Macaca mulatta: one gene and its partners. The protein of the gene in region 5 interacts with the protein of the main gene of each other region in a pairwise test. Links are inferred from orthologs where the notes say so. Each region holds a gene or a part of one and is shown on either strand. Other genes may lie near its edges.

Evidence for each region.
Region 1: the proteins of TRIM27 (region 5) and JOSD1 interact in binary tests that used the Homo sapiens proteins (3 or more experiments, as listed by UniProt). The two-hybrid records come from large-scale screens. The link is inferred for Macaca mulatta from reciprocal best matches to the Homo sapiens genes TRIM27 and JOSD1.
Region 2: the proteins of TRIM27 (region 5) and TBC1D22B interact in binary tests that used the Homo sapiens proteins (3 or more experiments, as listed by UniProt). The link is inferred for Macaca mulatta from reciprocal best matches to the Homo sapiens genes TRIM27 and TBC1D22B.
Region 3: the proteins of TRIM27 (region 5) and PUS7L interact in binary tests that used the Homo sapiens proteins (3 or more experiments, as listed by UniProt). The two-hybrid records come from large-scale screens. The link is inferred for Macaca mulatta from reciprocal best matches to the Homo sapiens genes TRIM27 and PUS7L.
Region 4: the proteins of TRIM27 (region 5) and UBE2D4 interact in a two-hybrid assay, tested with the Homo sapiens proteins (2 studies listed by BioGRID and IntAct). The link is inferred for Macaca mulatta from reciprocal best matches to the Homo sapiens genes TRIM27 and UBE2D4.
Region 6: the proteins of TRIM27 (region 5) and ZC2HC1C interact in binary tests that used the Homo sapiens proteins (3 or more experiments, as listed by UniProt). The two-hybrid records come from large-scale screens. The link is inferred for Macaca mulatta from reciprocal best matches to the Homo sapiens genes TRIM27 and ZC2HC1C.
Region 7: the proteins of TRIM27 (region 5) and ZBTB16 interact in binary tests that used the Homo sapiens proteins (3 or more experiments, as listed by UniProt). The two-hybrid records come from large-scale screens. The link is inferred for Macaca mulatta from reciprocal best matches to the Homo sapiens genes TRIM27 and ZBTB16.

Annotation. Positions count from the first base shown.
Region 1 is NC_133415.1:12,822,230-12,826,165, forward strand, and holds the start of JOSD1 (josephin-1), read left to right. Parts: upstream 1-1,136; 5' UTR 1,137-1,277; exon of another isoform or gene 1,278-1,462; 5' UTR 1,463-2,097; coding exon 2,098-2,282; exon of another isoform or gene 2,283-2,867; intron 2,868-3,271; exon of another isoform or gene 3,272-3,936.
Region 2 is NC_133409.1:144,959,887-144,963,386, reverse strand, and holds part of TBC1D22B (TBC1 domain family member 22B), read left to right. Parts: intron 1-559; coding exon 560-867; intron 868-3,082; coding exon 3,083-3,262; intron 3,263-3,500. UniProt on the Homo sapiens protein: May act as a GTPase-activating protein for Rab family protein(s).
Region 3 is NC_133416.1:50,752,677-50,756,843, reverse strand, and holds the start of PUS7L (pseudouridylate synthase PUS7L), read left to right. Parts: upstream 1-1,367; 5' UTR 1,368-1,373; coding exon 1,374-1,393; intron 1,394-4,167. UniProt on the Homo sapiens protein: Pseudouridine synthase that catalyzes pseudouridylation of mRNAs.
Region 4 is NC_133408.1:84,413,322-84,416,821, reverse strand, and holds part of UBE2D4 (ubiquitin-conjugating enzyme E2 D4), read left to right. Parts: intron 1-2,682; coding exon 2,683-2,788; intron 2,789-3,500. UniProt on the Homo sapiens protein: Accepts ubiquitin from the E1 complex and catalyzes its covalent attachment to other proteins. In vitro able to promote polyubiquitination using all 7 ubiquitin Lys residues, but may prefer 'Lys-11' and 'Lys-48'-linked polyubiquitination.
Region 5 is NC_133409.1:154,415,366-154,419,487, forward strand, and holds the start of TRIM27 (zinc finger protein RFP), read left to right. Parts: upstream 1-1,322; 5' UTR 1,323-1,411; coding exon 1,412-1,831; intron 1,832-3,064; coding exon 3,065-3,160; intron 3,161-4,122. UniProt on the Homo sapiens protein: E3 ubiquitin-protein ligase that mediates ubiquitination of various substrates and thereby plays a role in diffent processes including proliferation, innate immunity, apoptosis, immune response or autophagy.
Region 6 is NC_133412.1:148,262,503-148,266,604, reverse strand, and holds the start of ZC2HC1C (zinc finger C2HC domain-containing protein 1C), read right to left. Parts: upstream 2,801-4,102; 5' UTR 2,422-2,800; exon of another isoform or gene 2,003-2,421; intron 1,621-2,002; 5' UTR 1,602-1,620; coding exon 273-1,601; intron 1-272. Other genes in the region: ACYP1 (acylphosphatase-1), read left to right, coding at 2,801-2,963.
Region 7 is NC_133419.1:114,997,010-115,000,509, forward strand, and holds the end of ZBTB16 (zinc finger and BTB domain-containing protein 16), read left to right. Parts: intron 1-213; coding exon 214-381; intron 382-3,028; coding exon 3,029-3,258; 3' UTR 3,259-3,327; downstream 3,328-3,500. UniProt on the Homo sapiens protein: Acts as a transcriptional repressor. Transcriptional repression may be mediated through recruitment of histone deacetylases to target promoters. May play a role in myeloid maturation and in the development and/or maintenance of other differentiated tissues.

The DNA of each region.
Region 1 (3,936 bases), on a different chromosome or scaffold from region 5:
TTGGATCTCAAGAGTTCGAGACCAGCCTGGCCAACATGGTGAAACCCCATCTCTACTAAAACTACAAAAATTAGCCTTGGGTAAGTGGCAGGGGCCTGCAATCCCAGCTACCCGGGTGGCCGAGACAGGAGAATCGCTTGAGCCCAGGAGGTGGAGGTTGCAGTAAGCTGAGATCGCCCTATTGCAATTCAGCCTGGGCTATAAGAATGAAACTCCGTCGCAAACAAAAACAAAAACAAAAACAAACTAAATTTAAAGTGCAATTTCTTCTCGTTTTTCCAGTTTTACGAAAAACCCCAAAGGAGGGCAGCTAAGGTGGATACTGATGCCTACCACGCACCCTAAGAGTAGGTAAAGGGAAAAAAATGAAATCCACGTGGGACTGCGAGTAGTTCGCCGTTTCCCGACGACGCACACAATGCGCTTAGGTATACTTCGCGCAGAGGTCTCTGCAGAGAGGAAAGCCACCGTGAGAAGAGCGGGGAGCCCCCAGGCAAGAGGGCAGTGGCTTGTGTGTAGTGAACTGAAATGCGACACCACGGAACTGCAACAGGAGTCTCCTTTCCACTTGAAATGTGACTCAAAGCGAGGCACCTACCCTTGGCGCTCCCTGGACAGTGCGGCACGGTCGGGCCCACTAACCAAGGCAATTTGCGCCCGACCGAATCAGGTGCTCCAAAATCCCCCCTGGTGAGCCGCGCGTTAGCCACACAGAAAACAGTCAACGCAGAAGGAGCGAGAACGCTCGGCCGAGAAGCCTGGCCCAGAGAGGGGAGGGGTGCGGAAAGCCGCGGACGGCAGCCGCTGGCCTGCAGGACTCCCTCAGGCCGCCCCACCCCGCCCCGCCAGGGACAGCGCAGAGCCGAGCGGCTGGACCCCAATCCTGCCGGCCGCCGCCGAGCTCCGCAGCCCGCAGCCCCACACCCACTGCTCCGCCACACCCCAACCGTTCAACTTGGCCCGTACACGCCCGGCGTCCCCGGCTCCCAGGCCGGTGCCGATGACGTCACACCTACGCTAGGCGTGACGCCACGGCTGGGAGGAGCGAGGACGGCGCCAGAGGGCGTTTCCGGAGCACGCGTCGGGCGGGGGCCGGTGACGTCGGGCTCAGGTGCGCGCGCCCGCCCGCGCGGCCCAGTTGGCGGCCCGCACTCCAGGTGGCGGCCGTTGTCGGTGAGGGGACGGCTGGCGTTGAGCGGTCCCGACGGCGTTGGGGTCTGCAGCCAGGGGCGCGGCGGGAGGGCGTCTGGGCCTGCGCTCACGTGACGGGTGGGGAGGTTGGTGTAGGGGCGGCGAACCGGGTGGGTCCGGGCTCAGGAGCGCGAGGCTGACTGTCCGGCCCCACCCCTTGCGGGCCAACCCGTCGCCGCGCGGAAGGAACCTTCCCTCGGGCAGGGGCCGGCCCCGCCGCGCACTTCCCGCGCCCGCTCGCCGCTGACCGGAGTTGTCTCTTCCTCCGCAGGGCCGCGGCCAGAGGGCGAGAGTCCGCGCCTTCCGAGGGAGCCGCGCCCTGCGGGCCCCACCGTACCCAAGGGGATGGAGGGCTGCCCCCGAGGCCCCCGCGCGGCTCGCGGTCCCACGCCTGCCGGCCCGCGCTAGCTGCTCGACTCGTGCGCGTTATCCGCCACCCAGGCCTTGTCTCCCGAGTCAGTGGCGTCGTGGTTCGAAAGAAATGGAAGAAAAGGAGCGATGTGACCGATGCTGTTCGGTCCTCCTGCTTTGAGGCCTGGCATTTGCAGAGGGAAACAGCAAGAAAATCGTGGGGAGTTTTGAGGGGGGTGGGAGGGAAGGGTGGGGAAACGGAAACAAGGTCTTACATTTTATGGGTTTTTTTTTTTTTTTTTTAATTCTGCAATTTGACAGTGGTAGCAAAATGAAAGTAATCCAAAAGTTATTTTTCTCTTGAGAAGAGAAAAGAGGTGGGTTTTTTTTTTCCTTTTGATTCCAGTCTTTTCTCCCAGTGACAAAGCATAAATCATGGACACCAGAGAATAAGGTGAACCTCAGGAACCCGGAAAAGACTGAGAAGGTTACATTCTTCTTCTGGAGGGAAGAGTAGGGTGTTTATAGCCATCTCTGGAACCTAAAACAAAAAACATGAGTTGTGTGCCATGGAAAGGAGACAAGGCCAAATCTGAATCATTGGAGCTGCCCCAGGCAGCACCCCCACAAATCTACCATGAGAAACAGCGCAGGGAGCTTTGTGCCCTCCACGCCCTCAATAACGTCTTCCAGGACAGCAATGCCTTCACCCGGGATACGCTGCAAGAGATTTTCCAGAGGTAGGGGACCCTTCTCCTTGGCATCTTGATACTTACTGATATTTTTGGATTTCTGTGGGTGGGATAATGTCTCAAGTTTCATAAACCTTTAAATCTATAGGTATTAGCTAGATGTCATTAGCAGGTATCAGGGACACAAGACAGGAAAAGATAATCACTACTATGTATCGGGCACTCACTGTGGGCTAGGAAAGTGCTCATATTCTCGGCTGTGTTTTCTCGAGTGATCTGCTCAACAATCCCATGGAATACGTGTTAATACGTGGTGTTATTTCCATTTTACTGATGAAGACACATTTAGTTCCGTACTTTGCTCAAGGTAACAAGACTTGGAGCTGGGGTTGAATTCTTACATCTATGCTGTTGACCACTATGCTAAATGCCTCTAAAGTTCTGCTGCCGAGGAGTTTACAGTCTAGAAGTGGGACCCGATACGTACACGTTCAGTCGCCTGTCATCAAAGGTGGAATGTGGTGACTACCACAAGCAAGAGGTATACACAATGCTCAGCTTTTCTGTGAGCCATGTGCTGGCAGTGGCGCTGTTCGTACATTGCTTTGTGTAGCCCTCCTAACAGTCATTTCACTGCCTGTATTTTACTGATAGAAAGGTCAGGTAATATGTCCAAATAGCTTCTAAATAGCAAAGTTATAATTTGAAGTTGACTCCAGATCGCCTCTTTCTCCTTTATTCTAGATGGCCTTTCTTATCCATTTAGAACAAATGCCACCCCACGGGTTAGTAGAGGTTCAGCTTTTGGCCAAGCACGGTATAATCCCAGCACTTTAGGAGGCTGAGGAGGGCGGATCACCTGAGTTCAGGAGTTTGAGACCAGCCTGGCCAACATGGTGAAACCTCGTCTCTACTAAAAATACAAAAATTAAGTCGGGTGTGGTGGTGCACACTTGTCCCAGCTAGTCGGGAGGCTGAGGCAGGAGAATCGTGTGAACTCGGGAAGTGGAGGTTGCAGTTAGCCGAGATTGTGCCACTGCACTCCAGCCTGGGTGACAGGTCTCAGAAAAAAAAAAAAAAAAAAAAAACTCAGCTTTTTTCTCTTTGCTTTGATTTTCTAGAATTACTTTAAAGGTTTTGAGAGTCAGTTCTGTGGTGTCTTGATGGACACAACAGCATATCTGCAGTCCATAGCAACTCAGATGGTGATCTTGCCTGATGACCCCAACTAGAAAGGGTTAGGCCCACACAGTCCTCACTGAAGAGGAGCTCAAGCGTTCTTCAAGCAGTACATATTGACAATTCCAGAAGACCTTTTTCTTACTCTCTTAGCTTGGAAATGAAATTATTGCCACATAGGGACCAGAATTACAGCTGGTAGCAACCTATTTGGGGTGATTTGTAAAACACAGGTATGGACCATTTGTCCTGAAAGAGCCAGAGGCTTACTCTTAGAAGAATGTTAATCCCCAGATGCAGACAAAACTATAATGAGAGTAATTATTTTCCAATGCCAGTAGTAACCAGAGTAATGCCTTACCAGGGTAAATATGTTATTTGCATCATGGCCATTATCTGGCAGCAAGTAGAATTGACTCTTCAGGACCTGGGGCACTGGGAGGTAAGATAATTTGTCTCAGATCATCAGGTCATGTCACTGAAAGGAGAACCCAGTACATTGGACTGCTTCCTTTTGGCCAGC
Region 2 (3,500 bases), about 9.5 Mb from region 5:
AGTGAAACCTTGTGTCTACAGAAAATAATAATAAAATTAGCCAGGCATGGTGGTGCACACCTGTAGTCCCAGCTACTCAAGAGGCTGTGGTGGGAGGATCACTTGAGCCCAGGAGGTCAAGACTGCAGTGAGCCATGATCATACCACTGCACTCCAGCCTGGGTGACAGAAACTCTGTCTCAAAAAAAAAAAAAAAAAGAGGTTATACAGAACTGACACCTATTCTCTACTTTGCCTGGAAGTAATCGCCTTATTTCTCTTCTTAGTCCATTGGCCAGAACTGGTCATATGGCCTCACCTAAGTGCATGGGGGCCAGGAAGTATACAAGAGCACATGGGATGTTTGGTGACCATTGCTGTCTCTGCTACATCTGTCTCTGCGATCTCAGGCTGGTCTGGATGTATCTAGATGAAGAATGGATATGGGCAGTTTTTGTTTGAAGAAGCTAATGATTATGTATGGAGTAGTTTGTAATTTATTAACATTATAATAATAAGCAAATGCAGGTGGTCAGATGTGTCAGGCCATTCCTTGGTAATTGTGTCTCCTTTCTTGAAGTTTCATTAAAGAACGATCAAAAGTCAGCACAGTTCCTCTGAAGAATAAGAAGGCCTCCAGTTTTCATGAGTTTGCACGGAATACCAGTGATGCTTGGGACATTGGCGATGATGAGGAAGAGGACTTTTCCTCACCTTCTTTCCAAACTCTGAACTCAAAAGTTGCTTTGGCAACTGCAGCCCAAGTTCTAGAAAACCACAGCAAGCTGAGGGTAAAACCAGAACGGTCCCAGTCAACGACATCGGATGTTCCTGCCAACTACAAGGTCATAAAGTCCAGCAGTGATGCCCAGCTGTCCAGAAACTCTAGTAAGTCCTTCCTGCTCCCTTCATAGCCTCAGGCTTTTCAGCAGCGTGCATTTTAAATAAAAGCGATTTGTGGTGGCTGCCCAGTCTGGTGACCTGGGGCTTCACTTTCTAACACCCAGGTGTTGTTTGCCATTCTCCTCTTCTCTTCTTACTTTCCCTGTGGTGGAGTCCAAAACTTCTGGTTTGATTGCTTCACATTGCTTTAGTCCTGGTCAGGTTTAGAAATATTAACTAATTTAAAGCTGTTAGTGGCTGAATTTCACAATTGTTTGGCCACTGTGGTTTGACTTTCTCAGCCCTGGGGAACAGCTACTAGCATAAAATTGTCTCTTCCTGTTCCTGAGGGAGGGAGCAAATGTGCCTAAAGGCCCCAGGTCTCGGCTTCCTGACCATCAGGCAGGTCCCATCAGGTTGGGTGGGATGGAAGTAGAGGCCTCTCTGTTTCTTTTCGGGAAACTGGCCAGAGTAACGGTTGATGCGATGGTGGTTTTATTAGACCTTTGGGGACTCTCAGTGTATTCCTTTAAATATTCATGGTTGTGTTTAATGTTGCCCTAATGGGTTTTATGAAAGTGTGTTGGGAACTGGAGAGGGAAGCTTTGTCATTGCAGTGAGAGTTAAAGCGGTGAGCGGGTAAAGGATGAAAAGGAAGTAGAAGAACATCAGAGCCCTGGCTCATGTTCTGAGGGAACTTTTTTCATGGCTGTAAGGTCTTTGCAATCATTCCACAGTTGTTTTCCATCACTGATTTGGGCTCTAGCGTGAACCTTCAGTGCCATGCACAGATAGGCATTCAGTGTTACTGACCAGGTGGCCACAGCTGCAGGCTGTGGAAGGTGTGTACACACGGTGATGGAGGGTCTCCAGAGATTCCCAGTGTGAGGAAGGCCCCTACTGTGATCCATAATGAGCTGCCCTGTGCAGCCAGGACCTCCCCAGCCCAGCCCAGAGCATTCTCCCTGAGGAGGTTTTCTCCTGCGGGCATCTGTCTGTAAATAGGTAATAGCGGAGATTTACAGCTGTCTCAGCTCTGCAGTGTGTCTGCATTTTCTAGTCCTCTCGTTACACTAGGCGTCCCAGCCAACTGCCTCGTGGAAGTTGTTTTTGTAAGCCTTCTAGTAGTACTGGTTGGTTGATATTCAATGTTTAATTTTTGTTATGACTACTACTTTTTAAGGCCCAGCCGTGTAAAGAGTATGAGGCAGTCATGTAAGCACAACTAGAATTAAAAACTGAGTTTTGCTTGTGATAATACAAGAGTTTCAGAGTCAGGCTTACCTAAGGTGGTTTTTCACCTCTCACTTGCAAATAATTTAATCTCCCTGAGCTGCAGTTTCTTGTCTGTAAAATAGTTATACATTCCTACCATGTGTTCTAAGGATCAAATGAGAGGTCATATGTAAAAGTGACCTATATGCCTTATACATAGGAAACACTCAATATATGTGAGTCCTGTAGTGCTTATTCACCCTACCCACCATCCAGTCTAGAAATGTCGAGAACAAGACAGAGTTCAGTTTGAGTCTTTGTTTGTTATTTCAGTCATATCCTGGCAGAATTAAGAACTGGTTCATTTTGGTGGGAAATGTAGGTGCACAAAGGAACCGCAGCCACCAAAGGCAGGATTGCCTTAGGCCAGAGCTTCTCACCAGGGCACACTGATGGGCCAAGAACCAGGTACAGGATGTGTGGAGATATTGATCCTCTTAGTCCATGGAGCAGCCGGGGGTTCCGGGGCTTGTGGAGAGCAACCACCTCCATTTATTGCAGCCTTGTGCTTTGTGGTGTCATCTGCCTTGTCATCATTCCTTATGTGCTCTGGGATGTGGAATGGGAAGGAAAACTCTGCCTTAGACTAAACTAAACTCACTGTTTGGCATCAAGAAAAGTTCCAAGTTGGGGCAGAAAGAAAACATTTGATTTTCCTTTAGAGTCACCAAAAAAGTTCTCAAAAGTTGCTGCAGCTTCTGGAGTCTCTGTTAGCACCTAAGGTGCCTTGGTGTGTTTGATATAAATGCAGCCCTTTCTCTGGGCAGTGAATGGAGCGTGGCTGGGTTCTGGTCCCTCGCTGCCCCTCAGCTGGGCACCTCAGGCAGTGCACACAGGCAGCCACGGCCTTGGGGAGGAGACACGATGCTGAACGATTAGGTTTAAGGCTTCTCAGAATCCATGCTCCTCACACAGCCCATTCTGTTTCTTTTTCAAATGATCTCAGGTGATACATGCCTGAGGAACCCACTCCACAAACAGCAGTCACTCCCTCTCCGGCCCATCATCCCCCTCGTTGCCCGGATCTCGGATCAGAACGCCTCTGGGGCCCCCCCAATGACTGTCCGGGAGAAAACCCGCCTAGAAAAATTCCGTCAGCTTCTCTCCAGCCACAACACTGACTTAGGTGAGTCCCTGTGAGCCCAGGCAAGGTAGGAGCTTTTGGTGACTGGAATTCTCAGAGACCTGGAAGCTACTGCTCTTTATTCTTCCTTCTTTTACTTTTCTAGCTTCTCCTGACCTGGTGCCCATTGCAGTGACATGCAGGTATTAAGTCAGACATATGTTACTAGAGATTATGGACCAAATTAGGTGGGACTGGTTTCTGTGACCTGTAGACCCTAGTGCAACTATTCTGACTTTGA
Region 3 (4,167 bases), on a different chromosome or scaffold from region 5:
GCTCAGTTTGGAGACGTAGAAGGCAAACTTCAAACGAACGCTTTGCACGAAAACAGAAGAAATTTGAACTTCCTGATAGCCCTCTTCAAGGACCACTCCAAGAAAGGGAAAAGGCAGATTTTAATATCCTGTGCTTACAAGGGACCTTGGGCAGTTACGTTTTTGAAGCACTAATAGCGCCGTTTCTTTCCATTCTAAATGCTCAAAGTGCTTTCTCGCTTTCCCAGGGTTTGCTTTTTTTTTTTTTTTTTTTTTTCTTTTTTCTTTTGAGACGTCGTCTCCCTCTGTTGCCTAGGGTGGAGTGTAGTGGTGCGATCTTGGCTCACTGCAAGCTCCGCCTCCCGGGTTCAAGCGATTCTGCTGCCTCAGCCCCTGGAGTAGCTGGGATTACGGGCGCCCGCCACCATGTCAGCTAATTTTTGTATCTTAGTAGAGACGGGGTTTCACCATGTTGGCTAGGCTGGTCTCGAACTCCTGACCTCAAGTGATCCGCCCGCCTCGGCCTCCCAAAGTGCTGGGATTACAGGCATGAGCCACCGCACCTGGACAGGGTTTGCTTTTATCCCTTTGTCTCTCTCTGGCTTCCAAGCTGACACTTTTTCCCCTATCTGCGAATGTACCCATCTGATCCCATAAGCCCCCTCCACTTTCTAATTCCCTGGAAGCTTGGAGGCCGGAGAAACAAGCGAATTACAATCGTGTGGAGGCTCCGCGAGCTGTCGGAGCCACAGGCATCTGTCAGGTGCTGGCCTGACTTCCTGGTTCTGGGGAAGATTCTTCATTTCGCAATCGGGCTCACGGAACCCAGGGCCTGGGAGGTGAGAAACTTGAGGTCCGACTGCGCCCCAGAACAGCTGAGTGACGTCCCTCCAAGCCTCAGGCTCTTTCTCAGGGCCGCCGAACTTCTTGATTCCCGGGGACCTACCCAAGTCTTTCTTCTGGAGTAAGCTCTGTCCACGGAACCCACTTCCTCTCTAACTTTTCTCACGGATGATAGAGATTTCCGTTCCGCAACCTACCACAGCAACCCTGAGGCAGAGGTGCCAAGACCTGGAAGCGGACCTCGGACGACCTTTGACCGAGGCATGAAGGCGGGGAATGCCTTACCTGCCCGGGCGCGGGCTGCTGAAGCCGGCGACAGAAGAACCAGCCGAACTAGGAAGCGCCGTGGAGGGGCGGGGCCAACCCGGCAGGCCCCTCCCCACTTCCCCGATGGCTTCATCTTGGCGCCTTCAGGCGGCTCCACAAAGTGAGAAACTCCGTGTCTTGCGTAGGGCGCGTCTTTACGTGGGCGCCTGCCCCTTTAATTACGCCCCTGTCGGAGGCTGAAACGCTGAAGGCTTCCGGGCATGCGCACAGCGTTGTGCAAATGAATGCTTTCCACTGAACCGAGGTAGATCGGGTCGAGCTTCTTGCGCGATGGTGGGCTTGTATGCGGGGGGGTGACGAGATTGGCATTGAACCATCCATACCCTTTGCCCCCAAAGAAGGGTGACGTGGGCTAGTGTCGCGCCTTTGGACAGGCAGAGTTAGGGGAGGGAGAAGAAACAGGTAGAGTTGCTGGCCTTGTCGGGGACACTTTTGGACGTGCTGGAGGGCAGCGACGCCCTAGTTCTGCGAAGTTAAGTAGCTTCTGCAGGACTGGGTTCAGTATCTCTAATACCTTCTCAGGATCCCTCTTCAGCCAACGAATTCCTCACACACACGCGCCAAGCAAACTACTCCCCCCCGCCCCCCCCCCCCCGCCCCCTGGCACCCCGCTCCACACTGTCATGAGCAGTTTCTGTTGAATGGGAACACTGCACCTTCAGGCTTAACGCCATGTGGGCTCCTTTGCTGCCCTCCAGTTCGGTTCCACTCTTTTACCAGAATGCTGGAATTACATTCTCCCCAAGTTTCCCTACCTGTTTCACTTGCTTAGAATGTCTATCTTTCTCCATTTTTTTGGGAGAAAGAAAAGATCATTATTCTTTCAGAGCCAATCCCTACAGCTATGTTCTTGACCACGCTGTTTTGTTTTTCAACTCCTCTAACTGTTACTCCGTCGGATACATCCTGCTCATTTCCATCAGAATCATCTTACTAAAGCCTGTTTTGGGATTGTGTCCCTTTTCTATTCAAACACTCACAGCCATCCATTGACCACCCAATAGATTCTAAGTCCTTGTCAGGGCATTCAACATCTTCCATAATCTGGTATGAACTCAGCTGCATATTCCAGCACAGTACTCTCCCTGCCTCCCCATCCCCACTGCTCTGTATCTGGACTGTTTGTTTTTCTCTCACACGTTGCATGTTTTGTTTGTACATTACTTGTGAGGTCACTGCCTCATTTCTATCTCTTGAACTATTGGAGGACTTAGATGGCCACTTCTTGCATTATGCCTCTCCTAATTATCTTCCACTTCACTCCTACAGCACTTATTTTGTACTAGCTTTTTCATTTATTTAACAATAGTATTTATTGCAGACCTACCATGTGCTTGACACTGTTCAAAATATGGGATCATCAGTAGTAAATAAGGCAGACAAGCTTACTCCTCACGTGGAACTAACATTCTCTTTGGAGGAGATAGACAATAAATAATAAAGAAAAACTTTACCTAGAACTGCTATGCAGAAAATTAAATAGGGTTTTGTGAAAGAGAATCACTTGCTGGGCGCGGTGGCTCACGCCGGTAATCCCAGCACTTTGGGAGGCAGAGGCGGGTGGATCACAAGGTCAGGAGTTTGGGACCAGCCTGGCCAATATGGTGAAAACCCGTCTCTACTAAAAAAATACAAAAATTAGCCAGGCGTGGTGGCGCGTCCCTGTAGTCCCAGCTACTCCGGAGGCTGAGACAGGAGAATCGCTTGAACTCGGGAGGCAGAGGTTGCAGTGAGCCGAGATAGCGCCACTGCACTCCAGTCCGGTGACAGAGTGAGACTTTGTGTCAAAAAAAAAAATCACTTGCAGGTTCCTGTAGATTATTGGCCAGGAAAAACTTCTCTGAGGGCATGAATCCTAAAAGATGCAGCTATATGGTTGGGGAGGGAACAATTTAGACAACAGGAACAGTTAGCACAAAAGTACTAAAGAAGGCCAGAGTAGCTGGAGTATAGCGGGTAATGGGGGTAAAGGTACAAAAAAATTTGGAAAATAAACAGGGTCCCTAATCTTAGACGTCCTTGGAAGCCAGGGTAAGTAATTTGGATTGTATTGCAAATGTGATTAGAGGGTTTTAAACTGGATTGTGATATGATTTAATTTACCTTTTAAGACACCATTCTGGCTGGTTTGTGGGCTAGTTGTAGAAGCAGGAATTAGGGGCCTTCACAACAACTAAAAGTTTTTGGAATGGAAGTATTAAAGTAGGTGTGATGAAGGACAGTGGGAGTGATAAAAATCAGATGCTTAAGGTTAATGCAGTTGTTGGAGATGAGAAAGTCAAAGTTATGACCATGACAGTGGATGACCAAGATGAAGCAGAGGTGTGAGGTTGAGGTTGAGATTGAGGACTTGAGGGTCCAAGACATTGAATGGATGATCCATATAGATGATCATGAAAATCATGTTGCATAAGAAGGTAGTGAGCCAGAGATCAGTGAATGAAGCAGAGTTGTCTGGGGATCCGAGAGAGTATGACAACAGATGGTAAAGCCCAATAGCAGGCTCTTCAAAAGAATTGGTTTTTTGGAAGTAGTAGAGGAAGAAATGGCTTGCAAGGAACAGTAACAAACATAGAACAATATTTACAGCCTCCAGGTCCTAAGGTAGATGGGTGGGAAAGAAAAAATAGCCCTCACTTGAGAGGACTAAGGAAGAAGCAGCCTGAAAAAATAGCCAGCTTTCAATTAGGGCAAGAAAGTGAGGGAACTGTACAGGAAATTAAGTAATTAAGGAAAATAAATATATCTTATATTTTCCTTAGGAAATTAGGATATGGAGAATTTGTTGTGATTTCTATATGGCATGATTGAAAGGATTGAGAAGGGATGTGATTTGCTAAATTGGTTCAGAATAGTAGAATACATTATAGATATGAGATGATGGTCCAGATGATGATAAATTACTTGGAGAATGTGGGTAAACACAGAACTCAGTAGTAGGGGGGCCCCTGGGCAATTTATCTTTCCTGCAGCTCCATATCGTATGGTAGCCATGGGTTTGTGTGAAAGGTGAGAGAT
Region 4 (3,500 bases), on a different chromosome or scaffold from region 5:
AGGTTTCTCCATATTGGCCAGGCTGGTCTCGAACTCCTGACCTTGTGATCCACCCACCTCGACCTCCCAAAGTGCTAGGATTACAGGTGTGAGCCATCACGCCCAGCCGGCAAAATCCTTATGTTCCTTTGCCCCAGCCCCTGCGTTGAGGTCACTGCTCACCCAGAGGGAGTGTAGGTGAGGCAGATTCTTAGGCTCCTGTAGCAGTGGAAGCTGCACCTGACTCAGAACACCTTGCACATCACAGAGAGCAGACTTTCCATGGGTCCCACAACATCCCTGGGAGAGGTACCATGTACCTATTTATAGTGAAGGCTCTGAGGTCCAAGGTCATTTGAAGAAGTAGTGTGTGGCTGTGGTTTAAAACAAAAACAAAAACAAAAACAGAAAAAAAAAGTCAAATGTAGGAGAGTATACAGTAGAAAATAGGACCTTCTTTCAACTTTGTCTCTCTAACCATGCCCGGCCCCCCGCCTTTTTTTTCCCACAAGGCACTGAGTCTTACTTGTCATTTCATTTCTCTTTCAGGAGTAATCTCCACCTGGATAAGCACTTGTTTGTGCTTCCTTGTTTCTCCCATGAATGGAACAGGCGTTTCCATGAATCTGCATCTTGCTTTTCCCATAGCAATATGTCTTGGAAATTGTTCCATATGATCACATTCATGTTTTAAAAATTCACCTCATTCTTTTTAAACAGTTGTGTAATATTCTGTTGCTTATTTATAACATTAATTTAACCAGTAATCAATCTGAAGACATTTAGGTTTCACATCTTTTGTTACAGTGGGTATCCTTACATATTTGAAGTGCACAAGGGTATTTTAGGACTAAATTCTGAGAAGGGGGTGGTCTTACAAAGGGTGAAATAGAAAGGTGGGGAGGGTTTGTGGCCTGGCAGAGGGTCCATGGCCTGAGCTTTTATTTGTTATTATTATTATACTTTAAGTTCTAGGGTACACGTGCACAACGTGCAGGTTTGTTACATAGAGTATACATGTGCCATGTTGGTTTGCTGCAACCATCAACTTATCATTTACATTAGGTATTTCTCCTAATGCTATCCCTCCCCCAGCCTCCCACCCCCCAACAGGCCCTGGTATGTGATGTTCTTCGCCCTGTGTCCATGTGTTCTCATTGTTCAATTCCCACCTATGAGTGAGAACATGCAGTGTTTGATTTTCTGTCCTTGTGATAGTTTGCTGAGAATGATGGTTTCCGGCTTCATCCCTGTCCCTGCAAAGGACACAAACTCATCCTTTTTTATGGATGCATAGTATTCCATGGTGTATATGTGCCACATTTTCTTTTTTTTTTTTTTTTTTTTTGAGACGGAGTCTCGCTCTGTCACCCAGGCTGGAGTGCAGTGGCCGGATCTCAGCTCACTGCAAGCTCCGCCTCCCGGGTTCACGCCATTCTCCTGCCTCAGCCTCCCGAGTAGCTGGGACTACAGGCGCCTGCCACCTCGCCCGGCTAAGTTTTTTTTGTATTTTTAGTAGAGACGGGGTTTCACTGTGTTAGCCAGGATGGTCTCGATCTCCTGACCTTGTGATCCGCCCGTCTCGGCCTCCCAAAGTGCTGGGATTACAGGCTTGAGCCACCGCGCCCGGCCATGCCACATTTTCTTAATCCAGTCTATCATTGATGGACATTTGGGTTGGTTCCAAGTCTTTGCTATTGTGATAGTGCCGCAATAAACATACGTGTGCATGTGTCTTTATAGTAGATATACACAGTAATGGGATCACTACTGAATCAAATGGTATTTTTAGTTCTAGAAATGCCATTTCTAGAACTAGAGGAATACCTTGAGGAATCGCCACACTGTCTTCCACAATGGTTGAACTAATTTACACTCCCACCAACAGTGTAAAAGCATTTCCATTTTTCCACATCCTCTTCAGCATCTGTTGTTTCCTGACTTTTTAATGATTGCCATTCTAACTGCCATGAGATGGTATCTCATTGTGGTTTTGATTTGCATTTCTCTGATGACCAGTGACAATGAGCATTTTTTATATGTCTGTTGGCTGCATAAATGTCTTCTTTTGAGAAGTGTCTGTTCATATCCTTTGCCCACTTTTTGATGGGGTTGATTTTTTTCTTATAAATGTGTTTAAGTTCTTTGTAGATTCTGGATATTAGCCCTTTGTCAGATGGGTAGATTGCAGAATTTTTCTCCCATTCTGTTGATTGCCTGTTCACTCTGATGGTAGTTTCTTTTGCTGTGCAGAAGCTCTTTAGTTTCATTAGATCCCATTTGTCTATTTTGGCTTTTGTTGCCATCGCTTTTGGTGTTTTAGTCATGAAGTCTTTGGGCCTGGGCTTTTCTGCTGATACATCAACAAAACATCACTGCTTTTTGCATAAAACTTCTGGGCTTTTGAGTCCTTTCTGCCACTCTTGTTACTCCTCAGGACATACTGTTTTCAGGGAGACGGTGTCAATCCCCCTATGTTCAGAATGAGAATCCAGCAGGGAATGGGTCAGGGAACTTCTGGGTGATCACTCACTTCCATATCCCATTAGAGTTTGGGAGTGGGTGTCTGGCTCAGCCTGCACTGTGGGGCCAGATATGCAGCACACTCCAGGTACAGCCCAGCAGTGGCTGCTCCTGCTTTACTTGGTTCTTTTCCCAGACGTCCCTGTGGTTTGTCTGATTTGGGATCTCTTGTCTTTGCAGGTTGCTTTCACAACCAAAATTTATCACCCTAATATCAACAGCAATGGCAGCATCTGCCTTGATATCCTGCGGTCTCAGTGGTCTCCAGCGTTGACTGTGTCAAAAGGTAGAGACGACGATGGCATGCTCTGTGTGCCTTGTCTCTTACACGTGTTTTTACCCCAGCACTGACTGAGTGAAAATGGAGGCTCAGAGAGAGCAGTCACCTTTCCCAGGTCACTTAGCCCTGTCCACTGCTGTGCCTGTAAGTGGACATCCTTACATCCCTATGAGGCAGCACCAGCAGAACTTTGTGCCCCACGCCGTGGCGCTTCTCAGCAGTCCATTGCCCTGGGGTGCTCAAACTGTCACATGGGTGCAAGAAGAAAATATTGATTCTACTTATATTTTTTATCTAAAAATAAGAAAGGCAAATATTAAATTACCTTCTCTGTTCCCTCATTTATTCATCCAATAAGCACAAAACGAACTGTGAGTCAGCCCTGAAAAAAGATACAGGGCATGCCCCTGGGGACCTCAAAGTTGGTGGAAAAATCCTCCCTTCCCAAATAAATGATATTAAGCACATGTCTCTGGTTGAAGTTGAAGAAACCAGTCTAAACTGAGCTTAGAAATGCAGATATTCCTTCTGAACTAAGATGGGCTGCACATGGGCTGTGTGTGCACAAGAGGCCTGAATGTAGACAGTGCAGTATCCTGGCAGGTGGAGCGTGGGTAGGATTGTGAAAAATCAACCCAAGAGAAACAGAACCTGGCCTAATTTTTAAATTTCTCTGTAGAGGAGACAGGATCTCACTTTGTTGCCCAGACCAGTCTCA
Region 5 (4,122 bases):
TAGTCTCTCTATACTTCAGAAAGGAGCAAGCAATTTTTAGTTGCTCCTCAATACAACAACCCTATGTAATGGGCATTTTGTTACTATTTTAATGGATAAACAACCTTATGGTTCAAAAAGTAAAAGATGTAACGAAATCTACTTCTTTACGGCGGTACAGTTATCATCCCCATTTCACACGAGGAGAAACTGAGGTAAATGAATGGTAAACCAACTTGCTTGGGCACAAGTGAGAGGTAGCAGAGCTGGGCTTGTTATTGCCACACAGAAATGTTACCATCTGATAATTAAACCTTTCTTTTTCTAAACAAAACTGCAAGTGCCTACAAATGGGTCTGTTTAATAAAAGGCCTCACCTATCAGGTGGGCTCAGACGGTGACCCTCCTCATCCTCCAGCCTCTTGGGGAAGCCAGATGTCTGCGCTCCCCAGCACCTATATAAAGCCAGCTTTCTTTCTTCTTTTCTTTTTTTTTCAAGACGGAGTCTCGCTCTGTCGCCCAGGCTGGAGTGCAGTGGCGATCTCGGGTCACTGCAACCTCCGCCTCCAGGGTTCAAGCGATTCTGCTGCCTCAGCCTCCTAAGTAGCTGGGACTACAGGCGCCTGCCACCACGCCCGGCTAATTTTTCTATATTTAGTAGAGATGCGGTTTTACCATGTTGGCCAGGATAGTCTCGATCTCCTGACCTCGTGATCCACCCGCCTCGGCCTCCCAAATGCTGGGATTACAGGCGTGAGCCACTGCGCGCGGCCAAAGCCATCTTTAGCAGGGGCTGAGACCTGGGCACCAAGAAGAAACCCAACTAAACACTAGGGGCCTGGGCCCGGCAGTCGCGGAAGCTTGTAGGCCCGGAGCGTGTGGCACCATCTGCTTTTGTGACCAGTCCCCTAGGCTAGAGCTTCGGCGCGACCCGCCCAAGGGAGAGTGGCGGAGCCTCCCAGGCCTTTCTAGAGAAAGCAGCCCGGGCCCCGAGGCCACGAAATCTTGTCACACACTAGAAGCGCGGGCCAAGCCCCGCCCCCCGAGCCGCCTCTTCCGCTCGCGCCGGGGTGGGGTCTACGCGGCCGCCGGGATCCGCTCGGACGCGGCCACGTTGTCTTGCGCGCTTTGCGCGCCTGGCCCTGGGATCCTGACCCTTGGCTACCCGTTCCTGCCCCAGTAGCGTGGCCGCGAGTCTCTGTGAGCCGGCTGTATTCCCGCACTCGCTCAGGGGGCACAGGCGCAGGGATCGGCCCGGCCACTCTGAGCCTTCGGTGCGCGGGCGCGTCTGGGATACGGGCCCGGGAGGCACCGCCCTCCGTCCGCCCGGTGCCTCCCAGGAACAGCGAACGGGAGAGAGCGCCGGAGAGTTGGGCTCCGTGCAGAGCTCGGCGCCGGGGCCCATGCCCGTGAGCCCCCGCAGGCCCGCGCCATGGCCTCCGGGAGCGTGGCCGAGTGCCTGCAGCAGGAGACCACCTGCCCCGTGTGCCTGCAGTACTTCGCAGAGCCCATGATGCTCGACTGCGGCCATAACATCTGTTGCGCGTGCCTCGCCCGCTGCTGGGGCACGGCAGAGACTAACGTGTCGTGCCCGCAGTGCCGGGAGACCTTCCCGCAGAGGCACATGCGGCCCAACCGGCACCTGGCCAACGTGACCCAGCTGGTGAAGCAGCTGCGCACCGAGCGGCCGTCGGGGCCCGGCGGCGAGATGGGCGTGTGCGAGAAACACCGCGAGCCCCTGAAGCTCTACTGCGAGGAGGACCAGATGCCCATCTGCGTGGTGTGCGACCGCTCCCGCGAGCACCGCGGCCACAGCGTGCTGCCGCTCGAGGAGGCAGTGGAGGGCTTCAAGGTGAGGGCGCGGATCCGGGAGGGCGGGAACGCGAGTCGGACAAAGGGAGGAGAGAGCCAAAGGGGCTTCCCTTTTTCCGCCTAGAAAATGGCTGAGCCGGACGTGTGGTTCACAGCCGTCATTTCCTCTCTGTCCGCCCCAGAGCCTCAGCACTCAGATTTGGAGGAAAACCTGTAGCTGGCGAGGGAGCCAGAAGTCTCCCCACCCCCACTCTCCTTTCTCTGTGTGCCCCCATGTTTCCTGTCTCACGGACACATTGTACACGGAGACATGCTTTTGACAGTATAAAAGAAGTGCATAAAATCGCTTGCACATCGACGAGCTGTAGAGACACATGTACTCTCGTCGGCTGTCAGACAAAACGCAGTCGGACATTAACTGACCGATGCCCATTCCTTGGTCTATAAGCATTTCCCCAGCACTTTCCTGCAATACGTCCTGGTCTAGAAACTCACAGAAAAGAACAGGCTCTTCACTGCTTAAGTCATTTAACCACTCTGAGACTCAGGAGATAACAGTTATGAGGAAGATTATGGAATCATGTGATGCACAGAGCCCTCTGTGAACTGGCACAGCTAAACAGAAACGTGGAAACAAAATATTACATATAAAACAGTTGTAAGGTGACCTTCAAGGAGTCCATGATACTGTGTATTTTCTGTATGTTGAGGGCTTCAGGAATTCATACACAATTATGTCCGTGTTTAAATATGAATACATTCATGTGTAATTAATCACTTAACATTTATGGACCTTTCAGCTATATTCTTTCACTTACTCTGGTGAGAACTCTTGAGTAGGTTGGGAAGATGGTGTTTGCCCATTTCACACATGAGGGAAATAAGAAGTCACTTTCACAGTATGCTTGTGTGGAAGAGCTACAATACAACATAACTCTAAGCCTCCTACTCCAGTCACAGTTCCGCTAAGTCATGCGATATCCTACCAGGGACAGGTAGATGATTCATTGTTTAAGATAGACACAAATAATCCTGACGAGGTAGCTGAGTGGTTGAAGCGACAGGCTGCTAAGATAGACACAAATTGCCAAATGAGTGGCTTGTTGGCCCCTGCGCCCTGAGTCTTTCTCTTGTGGGTGGCAGTGTGGCCTGAGAACAAGTGCCAACTGGATACTTGGCATCAGGTGTGTGGACTCCATGTGTGATTAGAAGTACCATGCTGATGCTAAGGTCTACCTAGTTTTGAACTGCCCATCTGTTTTGCTTTTCTCAGGAGCAAATCCAGAACCAGCTTGACCATTTAAAAAGAGTGAAAGATTTAAAGAAGAGACGTCGGGCCCAAGGGGAACAGGCACGAGCTGAACTCTTGGTAAGGGTTGTTGGAATTCACAGTCGCTTCTGCTGGTGCTCCCCTCTTCTGTAGAGCTGATGTTACTTCCCTTAGACTTGTCCAGCATGTCACCCAGAACCTGTAGGTAGAGGGGGATCAACTGCACATGGCAGTGGGAACTCACCCAGAGAACTAAGAGATTCCCTTTCTTTTGGGGAAAGCGTGGAGGAGCCAAGTTTGGAACCCTTGGAAATCAGACCTGTCAGTATAGTTTAACCTGCTAACTGCGTAGACCAAGGTTGATCCTTGGCAAAGCTGAGATGGGTAAAATTATTGGATACAGTTAGCTTGCGTTGTTACCATTCTTCAGACAAGTGCTAATAGTGGATTTGTGTAAGTCCCACTGTTGCTTCTCTTTGTGTTATTCTCCTTTCTTGACAATGCCTTAATTCTGAATTTTTTGCTCTGCTCTCTTCCTCCAATCTCTCAAGGCCTCGACAAGTGGCTGATGTATTAATTTATGATAGGGGTATATGGGAATTTTTTCTTTTTATTTCCGACAGGGTCTCACTCTGTCACCCAGGCTGGAGTGCAATGGCAAGGTTTCGACTCACTGCAACCTCTGCCTCACATTTCAAGTGATTCTCCCACCTCAGCCTCCCAGGTAGCTGAGGCTACAGGCATGTGCCAACACACCCAGCTGATTTTTGTATTTTTAGTAGAGATGGGGTTTCACCATATTGACCAGGCAGGTCTCGAATTCCTGACCTCAAGTGATCCACCTGCCTTGGCCTTCCAAAGTGCTGGGATTACAGGTGTGAGCCACTGCACCTAACTGGGAATTTTGTTTTGAAAAGAAAAAAAAAAACAAGGCAGGGCATGGGGGGGGGTGGCGGCTCACACCTGTAATCCCAGCACTCTGGGAGGCTGAGGTGGGCGGATCACCTGAGGTCAGGAGTTGAAGACCAGCCTGGCCATGGTGAAACCCCGTCTGTACTAAA
Region 6 (4,102 bases), on a different chromosome or scaffold from region 5:
CTCTGCCACTTAAAGCTGTTTGTGACCTCAAGCAAGTTACTTAGCCTGTCCAAGTCTTGATTTTTGAACTGATAAAATGAGAGATAAATGCGAGGATCACATGCAAAGCTCCCATCACAATGCTGGCATACAGTAGTAATCAAGAAATGTTAATTCTAGACGTCAATTCTTCCTACATGACACATGAATTTTCCCTAAAGAAAACTGATGATGACAAAACAGACCCCTACAATGATCCCCACACCAAGTCACATCCATAAGGCTCTTGTTACCTTGGCTGAAGCTGGCCCCTTCCAGTTCAAGTATTGCTCTAGTTCTGTGCCCTTAGCCCGGGCCCTGGAGGAGTCAAACACTTTCCTCTTGGAACCCTGTATCCTGCTGCAGATGTTGGAGTGTCTCTCCAGCCTGAACAAGAGGAATTTTCGCCCACAGTGGCTGCACTCACCCAGCTGTGGCTCTTCAGTGGAGCCGCTGGAACCTGAGGAGTCTGGTGCCATGGACAGGCTGGAATTTCTGGCAGATCCCTGCAAAGCACCGCCTGGTGTTTCTGAAGGCGGGGAGAACTTCTCCATCGACGGCTCTGAGACTCGGTCTCGAATTTTGTTATTGCTTGCTACCAGCCTTTCCCTTTTGAGTCTCTGAATTCTATAATCAGAGAGCTGGAATGGACTCGAATTTTGTTGAGACCGTTCCCAAGTTTCATCCTCTCTCCTGTCTCTACTAAATTCTTCCTCAAAATCAAATTCTGGGGAGAAGACAGCTTTGTGCGTGGTGTTGCTGTTATTACCTTTAACTCTGCTCCTGGGGAATATAATTTTCTGTAGCTCTCTGTTTTCATTTTCCTTGGCCTGCTCCTTTTGCGTCTGGATCCTTCTGAGTTCCTCCTCTGTCTTCTTCAGCTTTCCCCTCAGGAGAATCTGCTTTCTTCGGATTTCCTCCTCTAAGCTCTCCCCTGCAGCTTCTAGTCTTCGGATCTGCACCCACTCCATCCTGTCCAAGTTTGCCAAGGCCTTCTCCGCCTGCATGGCAGCAAGAACAGGATCAACCACAGAAAAGTTGACCTGGTTCCTCACATCAAAGTTCCTGGATGAAAACTCTCTCAGTTCAGGGGGCCTTGGGTAGACATTCTGGTCCCCATCAGTGCCAGACTCACCTGTACTGCACGACTTCCTGTGGACCACGGGTTTCAGTGGGTACGCCCGGTCCACTCCAACTCGTTTCTTTGTAAAGGGGATAAAGTCCTGGTTATTGGCTTTGGGATACCAGGATTGAGGGCCTGATGAGTAAATTTGTTTTACTTGGCCCTGGAAATCACTTCCTGCATCTTGGTGGCTGATTCCAGTACAGTGGGGATAGGAGTAGCTCCGGGCTTTTGTGTTCCATTTGGGGTGAGTGTGGACTTTATCCAGAGTCAACTCTTTGTTGCTCAAAAGCTGCTTCTGGAAATTGTTCCTCAGGTGCCCCTTCAAGGACTGCTGGGAAGAGTCACTTTGTTCGTAAGAGTCTTGCTTGGCTGAGTGGGGCCCTGGAGCTTCTGTTGTATTATGTGGAAGCATAACGCCCACAGGCAGATGTGATGCCAACCGCTGGAGACCAGCCATTCAGGGCCTGGACTGATGCCTACGGGAGATTTAAACCAGATACATGCGAAGAGTTTGTCTGAGGTTCACTCTCGTCTGCTAAAGCAAACTATTTCTACATTTGCCCTGCCCACATTTCCTTAAACTTTTCTGGGGACAGTGGTGCTGGATCTGCCAAAGCTTCCCTTCAAAAACCATTTGGTGAGTGATTACTATGCACAAGACACTGTGTTAGGCCCTGAGGGTAGAGAAACGGAGGTGCTACAGGTGTTCCTGCCACCTAGCTCTCCTCTCCTCCAGCACCAGCCTCTGCCACGCACAGTATACTCTACAGTAAGTGGAAAGAGCATCGGATTGAAAGTCAGGTTTTAGGCCTGTAACAGGACAAGCGACTTCTCCCTTGCTGGCCCCCGTTTCTTCACCTGTAAACTGAAGGGTTCCGTCCGAGTCCATCCTCACCATTTTACAGGTGAGCAAGCTGTGGCCCAGAGGTAGTGACTGGCACAAAGAGCTCTCAGGGCTTCCCTCCTGCTGGAACCGTGCTTGATTCAAAAGAGCACAGAGGCTGCTAGGGCCTGGAGCAGGTGCCTGGCTGTCAAACCCTCATCTCAGGAGTCCCCGTGGCGCAGACGGTAAAAGTTTTGTAACCTGAGCGTTGAGGGCCACCTGACCTGGCTGCAGCCGGTTTTAGATCCTTAAGGCTGAAGTCACGTTCTGTCCCGAAGGGTCAACTGGGGCGCCCCCACTACGGACTCCGCCTCTGGGGACAAGTCCTCTCTCTCTCCTGCCCTTCGGGCCCTTAGGAGGTGCTGACCCTCTGTCTCCCCGCCCTTCTGCGTACCTGAGGCCCTCGGGCACCGCTCCTGCTCAGGGAAAACCCCAGGGCCTAGTTTCCCAGACCCGACCTCCCCCTCAACCGACGGCCGCGCAGGCGCTCTCAGCTAGCTTCTGTTATTCCCGGTGCCTGGAGACCGAGTTACTGGCGGGCCAAGCTCCGCCCCTCGCTGCGAACTCCTTGGGGAGGCGTGCGCAGGCGCAGTGCACCAGCGACCCGGGGCGACCGGGGGTGGGGGGTGCGGTCAGCCCGACCGTCACTTGACCCAGTCAGTGTCCGGCCAACTCTGCAGCCGGGTCCAGCCCTGCCCTTGGGGAGCCGAGGAAGGGCGGGAGAGGCTTTTCTGGGGCTCCATCAAAGAAGAACTTGTACTTTCCTGAGAACGATGCTCCCAGACCTTGGGGTGTGCCCTTCACTGGCAAAGGGCGGAGGCCCTGGCTGTGCCTCCGCGTGCTTCCGCCGCAGGGTGCAGGCGACCGCCTGCCTGGTGGGAGCGGGGCTGCTGCTGACCTTTCTCGGCGCGCTTGGCTGCGCTGGGCGGGCCCCAGGTATGGCTGCACGTGCGCGCTCCCTGCTTGTCGTCGCCAAGTCTTTGGAACTTGCTGCCAACGTTTTTGCTACGCAGTATCTTTCCGGGGTAATTTTTGTGGCCAATCTAATTATTTTGATATTATAATGTTTTACTCTCACGTGGTAACTCTAGCCGTCTGTACTTAGGGCGTAGGAATGACTCAGCCAAGTGTAATGATAATAAAGAACTACCAGATCGAAAATAATCAGTATAACCTGGTTTCAACAGTAAATGATACTCTGTAACTTGTTGACATCAAAAGAAAGTTTATTTTTTTTTCTTCGTTTCAGTTCATCTGTGTAGGACGTTGGGAACAGGCAGTTCGCTTTTTCCCTGTAACTACTCAATTCATGCACTTGGAAAATAATGTAGACAAGCAGTCATCAGTGTTAATACTTCAACATGTCATATTACAGCTGTTACCTGTTACAAAGAAATTCCTTGGTGGACCCTCCAGGTCAGTCCTTCTTTTTTTTTCTTTTCTTTTTCTTTTTTTTTTTTTTTTTTTAATTCCTCGTTTTCATCCCTTGTTGCCTGCACCACCTCTACATATATGCAGCTCCAGATGTTTGCCACTCTACTCAGGGTCCCAATTATCAACTCCCGCAGCTTCCCTCAGCAGAATGTACGGGCTTTCTCTTTCTCTCTCTCTCTCCTCTTCCTTCTCTCCCTTTCTTCTCTGTCTCTGTCTGTCTCTGTCTCTGTCTGTCTCTCTCCCTCTCTCCTTCCCTCTCCTCTATGAGAAAGAAGGGCCACTTTCCATGAGTTCTCTTGAATTAGTGCTTTTCAGTACCCTCCGGGAATTGACTCCATCACTTTACCCCAGCGTTTTGTTTTTGTTTTCTGTTTTGTTGGTTTTGAGGGTTTTTTAAAATTTGTTTGTTTTTTGAGACAGAATCTCACCCTGTTGCCCAGGCTGGAGTGCAGTGGCGCAATCTCAGCTCACTGCCACCTCCGCCTCCTGGGTTCAAGTGATTCTCCTGCCTCAGCCTCCCGAGTAGCTGAGATTACAGGCGTCTGCCACCACACCTGGCTAATTTTTTGTATTTTTAGTAGAGATGGAGTTTCACCATGTTAGCCAGGCTGGTCTTGAACTCGTGACCCCAGGTGATCCGC
Region 7 (3,500 bases), on a different chromosome or scaffold from region 5:
AGATGATCATGGGCCCACAGTAAAGTGTGGACATGTGTGAACACAGGTATTGCTTGTTTATTCAATGGAGGTGTGGCCGTGGATCCCTAAGTTGTCTTTGGAGGTGGTGAATACAGGCCGTCTCATCCTTCTCATGCACTGAATGTGCCCTACTGTACCCTGAGGAGGGGGCAGGGAGAGGCAAATGCCTGATCCAGCCGCTTGTCTCCACAGGCGACCACCCCTACGAGTGTGAGTTCTGTGGCAGCTGCTTCCGGGATGAGAGCACACTCAAGAGCCACAAACGCATCCACACGGGTGAGAAACCCTATGAGTGCAATGGCTGTGGCAAGAAGTTCAGCCTCAAGCATCAGCTGGAGACGCACTATAGGGTGCACACAGGTACTGAAGGCCAGGGAGGGGTCTGAGCTGGCTCTGGGACCTGGGTGGAGGTGGGAAGCAGATGGTCTCCTGGAGAAGCCTAAGTGAGGATGATCCCAGGCTGAATCAAAGAGTAGAAGAGGTTCTATTAAGGGCTGGTATGATGACCTGAGGGCCACCACACCCCAGTCAAGGTGGCCTGAGGGCCACCAGTCAAGGCCAAGGCAGACATTACTAATCAATCCCAGCACACTTTCCAATGAGCCCCCACCAGCTCTCCAGGCAGTTATACCAATAGTTCAGAGGTGACATGCAAAATGATGTCTGTATATGAGTCCTAAATTAGGGGTAAGTTGGTCCAGTTAGCTGGAAGCGAAGGTTAGGTCCAGTTAACATGAAGCGAATTTCATGTTACTCAAGGGTTACAGTAAGAATTAGGATGCATTGAATCAGGTTATGATGGAAGTTGGGAAATTGTAAAGTTAGATTGTGTTTGGTTCTGAGATTAGAAGAGCAGATATATTTAATAATCCCTATATGCATATGATGTTTTACCATTTCAGAGTGCCTTCACATTTTTTTTTTTTAGACAGAGTTTCGCTCTTGTTGCCCAGGCTGGAGTGCAGTGGCATGATCTCAGCTCACTGCAATCTCTGCCTCCTGGGTTCAAGCAGTTCTCCTGCCTCAGCCTCCCGATTACCTGGGATTACAGGCGTGTGCCACCATGCCCGGCTAATTTTGTATTTTTTTTTTAGCAGAGACGGGTTTGCCATGTTGGTCAATCTGGTCTCGAACTCCTGACCTCAAGTGATTCACCCGTCTCGGCCTCCAAAGTGCTGGGATTACAGGCATGAGCCACCATGCCCGGCCACATTATTGTTTGTATTGGAAAAAGAAATGTGGGCCACTGCTTTTCCTGAGGTCAGAAGACAAAAGAAGTGAAGGGTCTTCCACAGTGTCCGAGGTTGGGGGCAGTGGAGTATTGGAGCTTGCTTGTGAAAGCTAATTTTTCACATTTCTTCACAACTTCAAGTTCAGCGACATCACCTTAGTTGCTTAAAATTGGCCCTGGTAGGAGTATTCACATCATAGCAATCAGCAGATGCTACAAACCAGGGCTTTTTAGAAAGCCAGTTGTTAAACATTTACCACCAGCACATTGCTGGTTGTGGGGAAGGCTGATTTACAGAAGGGTAAGAGGTGGTGGCACATGGAAAACAAAGAAACCCCTCTGATCGGGGGGGACAGCTGTCCTGTCCAGAGGAAGGGGGAGAGGTGGCTTCAGGCAGGTCCTGCTGGCTTAGAGGAGAGTACATTGCCTTTGGAGGGGAAGGGTGGACAGAAGGAGCAGTAAGCAGAGCTACGTGTTGTCAGAGCTCAGTTTTCGTGCCCCAGTTTGAGCCCCCAAGGACAGGGTTGGGTGTCCATTGCTGACACCTATAGTGACCCAGAGGATTTCCCAGAGCCCTGGGGTTTCCTTAGCCCCTTGTCGGGGATGTGACCTGGCAGGTGGATCATTAACTGTATTGGCAGTGACTATTGTAAATAGCTGGTCGATGGTTAGATCACTTTGGCTGTTCATTACTTCATTATTTGCTGGGGCCTGTGCACGGAGGAGTATTGATAGCGAGATGGCTGGCCAGTTAATTACTGTATTGAAACAAGGTTCCCTCACATCCTCTGCTCAGCTCTAGGGGACTCTATGGAAGGAAAGTTGGGGTATAGAAGGCTAGGGTGTGGCTGTGTACTCCCAGGTTCTTTATCCTTCCCATCCCACCCCACCCCCAATTCTAGCCTCAGGAGGGAGGCAGGGTCCAGGGCAAAGTCTTAGCAGTTTTAGCAGGATAGGCCGGGTGCGGTGGCTCATGCCTATAATCCCAGGACTTTGGGAGGCCGAGGCAGGCAGATCACTTGAAGTCAGGAGTTCAAGCCCAGCCTAGCCAACATGGTGAAACCCTGTCTCTACTAAAAATACAAAAATTAGCCAGGCATGGTGGCAGCACCTGTGATCCCAGCTACTTGGGAGGCTGAGGCAGGAGAATCACTTGAACCCAGGAGGCAGAGGTTGCAGTGAGCTGAGATCGTACCACTGCATTCCAGCCTGGGCAACACAGTGAGACACCATCTCAAAAAAAAAAAGGCTTTAGCTGGATAGAGGTTCCCAGGTGCGGCATATTTGAAGGACTGGGTTCCCTCAGTTTTCCCCCACCCCTGCTCCCCACCATCTGTAGCCCTGAAAGGTCTCGATCCACCTGCTCCCTGGATGGAACTGCGGCTCGAAGAGCCATTCCTGAGGACCGTGGGGCCTTTCTCTTTCTAGACACTCATTTTCTTAATTAGAAAGGGAAAAGACTGTGGCCTTAGGAGAGTTAAGAATAGTAAGACAAGGAACTGGGCAATCCAGTAGTCAACTAGCTACATGTAGCTATTTAAATTAGTTACAATGAAATAAAATCAGAAAACTGTAGAGCTCCAGTCGCACCAGCCTCGTTCATAGCCATGTGTGACTGGTGGCTGCCGTCTTGGGTGGTGCCTTCATTGTCCCAGAAAGTTCTGTTGGAACAAGCCCAGCAGGAGGAACCCAGCTTCCCTGGCACACCTGAGGGTGACATGGTGCCCTCACCGCCCTCTGTCCTCACTTTCTCCTGCCCTGTCCCTCTGCCCTCAGGTGAGAAGCCCTTTGAGTGTAAGCTGTGCCACCAGCGCTCCCGGGACTACTCGGCCATGATCAAGCACCTGAGAACGCACAACGGCGCCTCGCCCTACCAGTGCACCATCTGCACAGAGTACTGCCCCAGCCTCTCCTCCATGCAGAAGCACATGAAGGGCCACAAGCCCGAGGAGATCCCGCCCGACTGGAGGATAGAGAAGACGTACCTCTACCTGTGCTACGTGTGAAGGGAGGCCCGCGGCGGTGGAGCCGAGCGGGGAGCCAGGAAAGAAGAGTTGGATCGAGATGAAGGAAGGACTATGAAAAATAAAAAAGGAAAAGAAAAAAAAAAAAGAGAAGGAAAAGGAAACCTGATAGCTTTTTGGCCTTGGATTCTCTCTGGGCTCCAGATGACCTGGATGCCAAGCCACTGCCCCTCCTCTGGGGGCCTCCACCCTCCTCTCCCGGCTGGAGGTTTGCCTGATTTTCT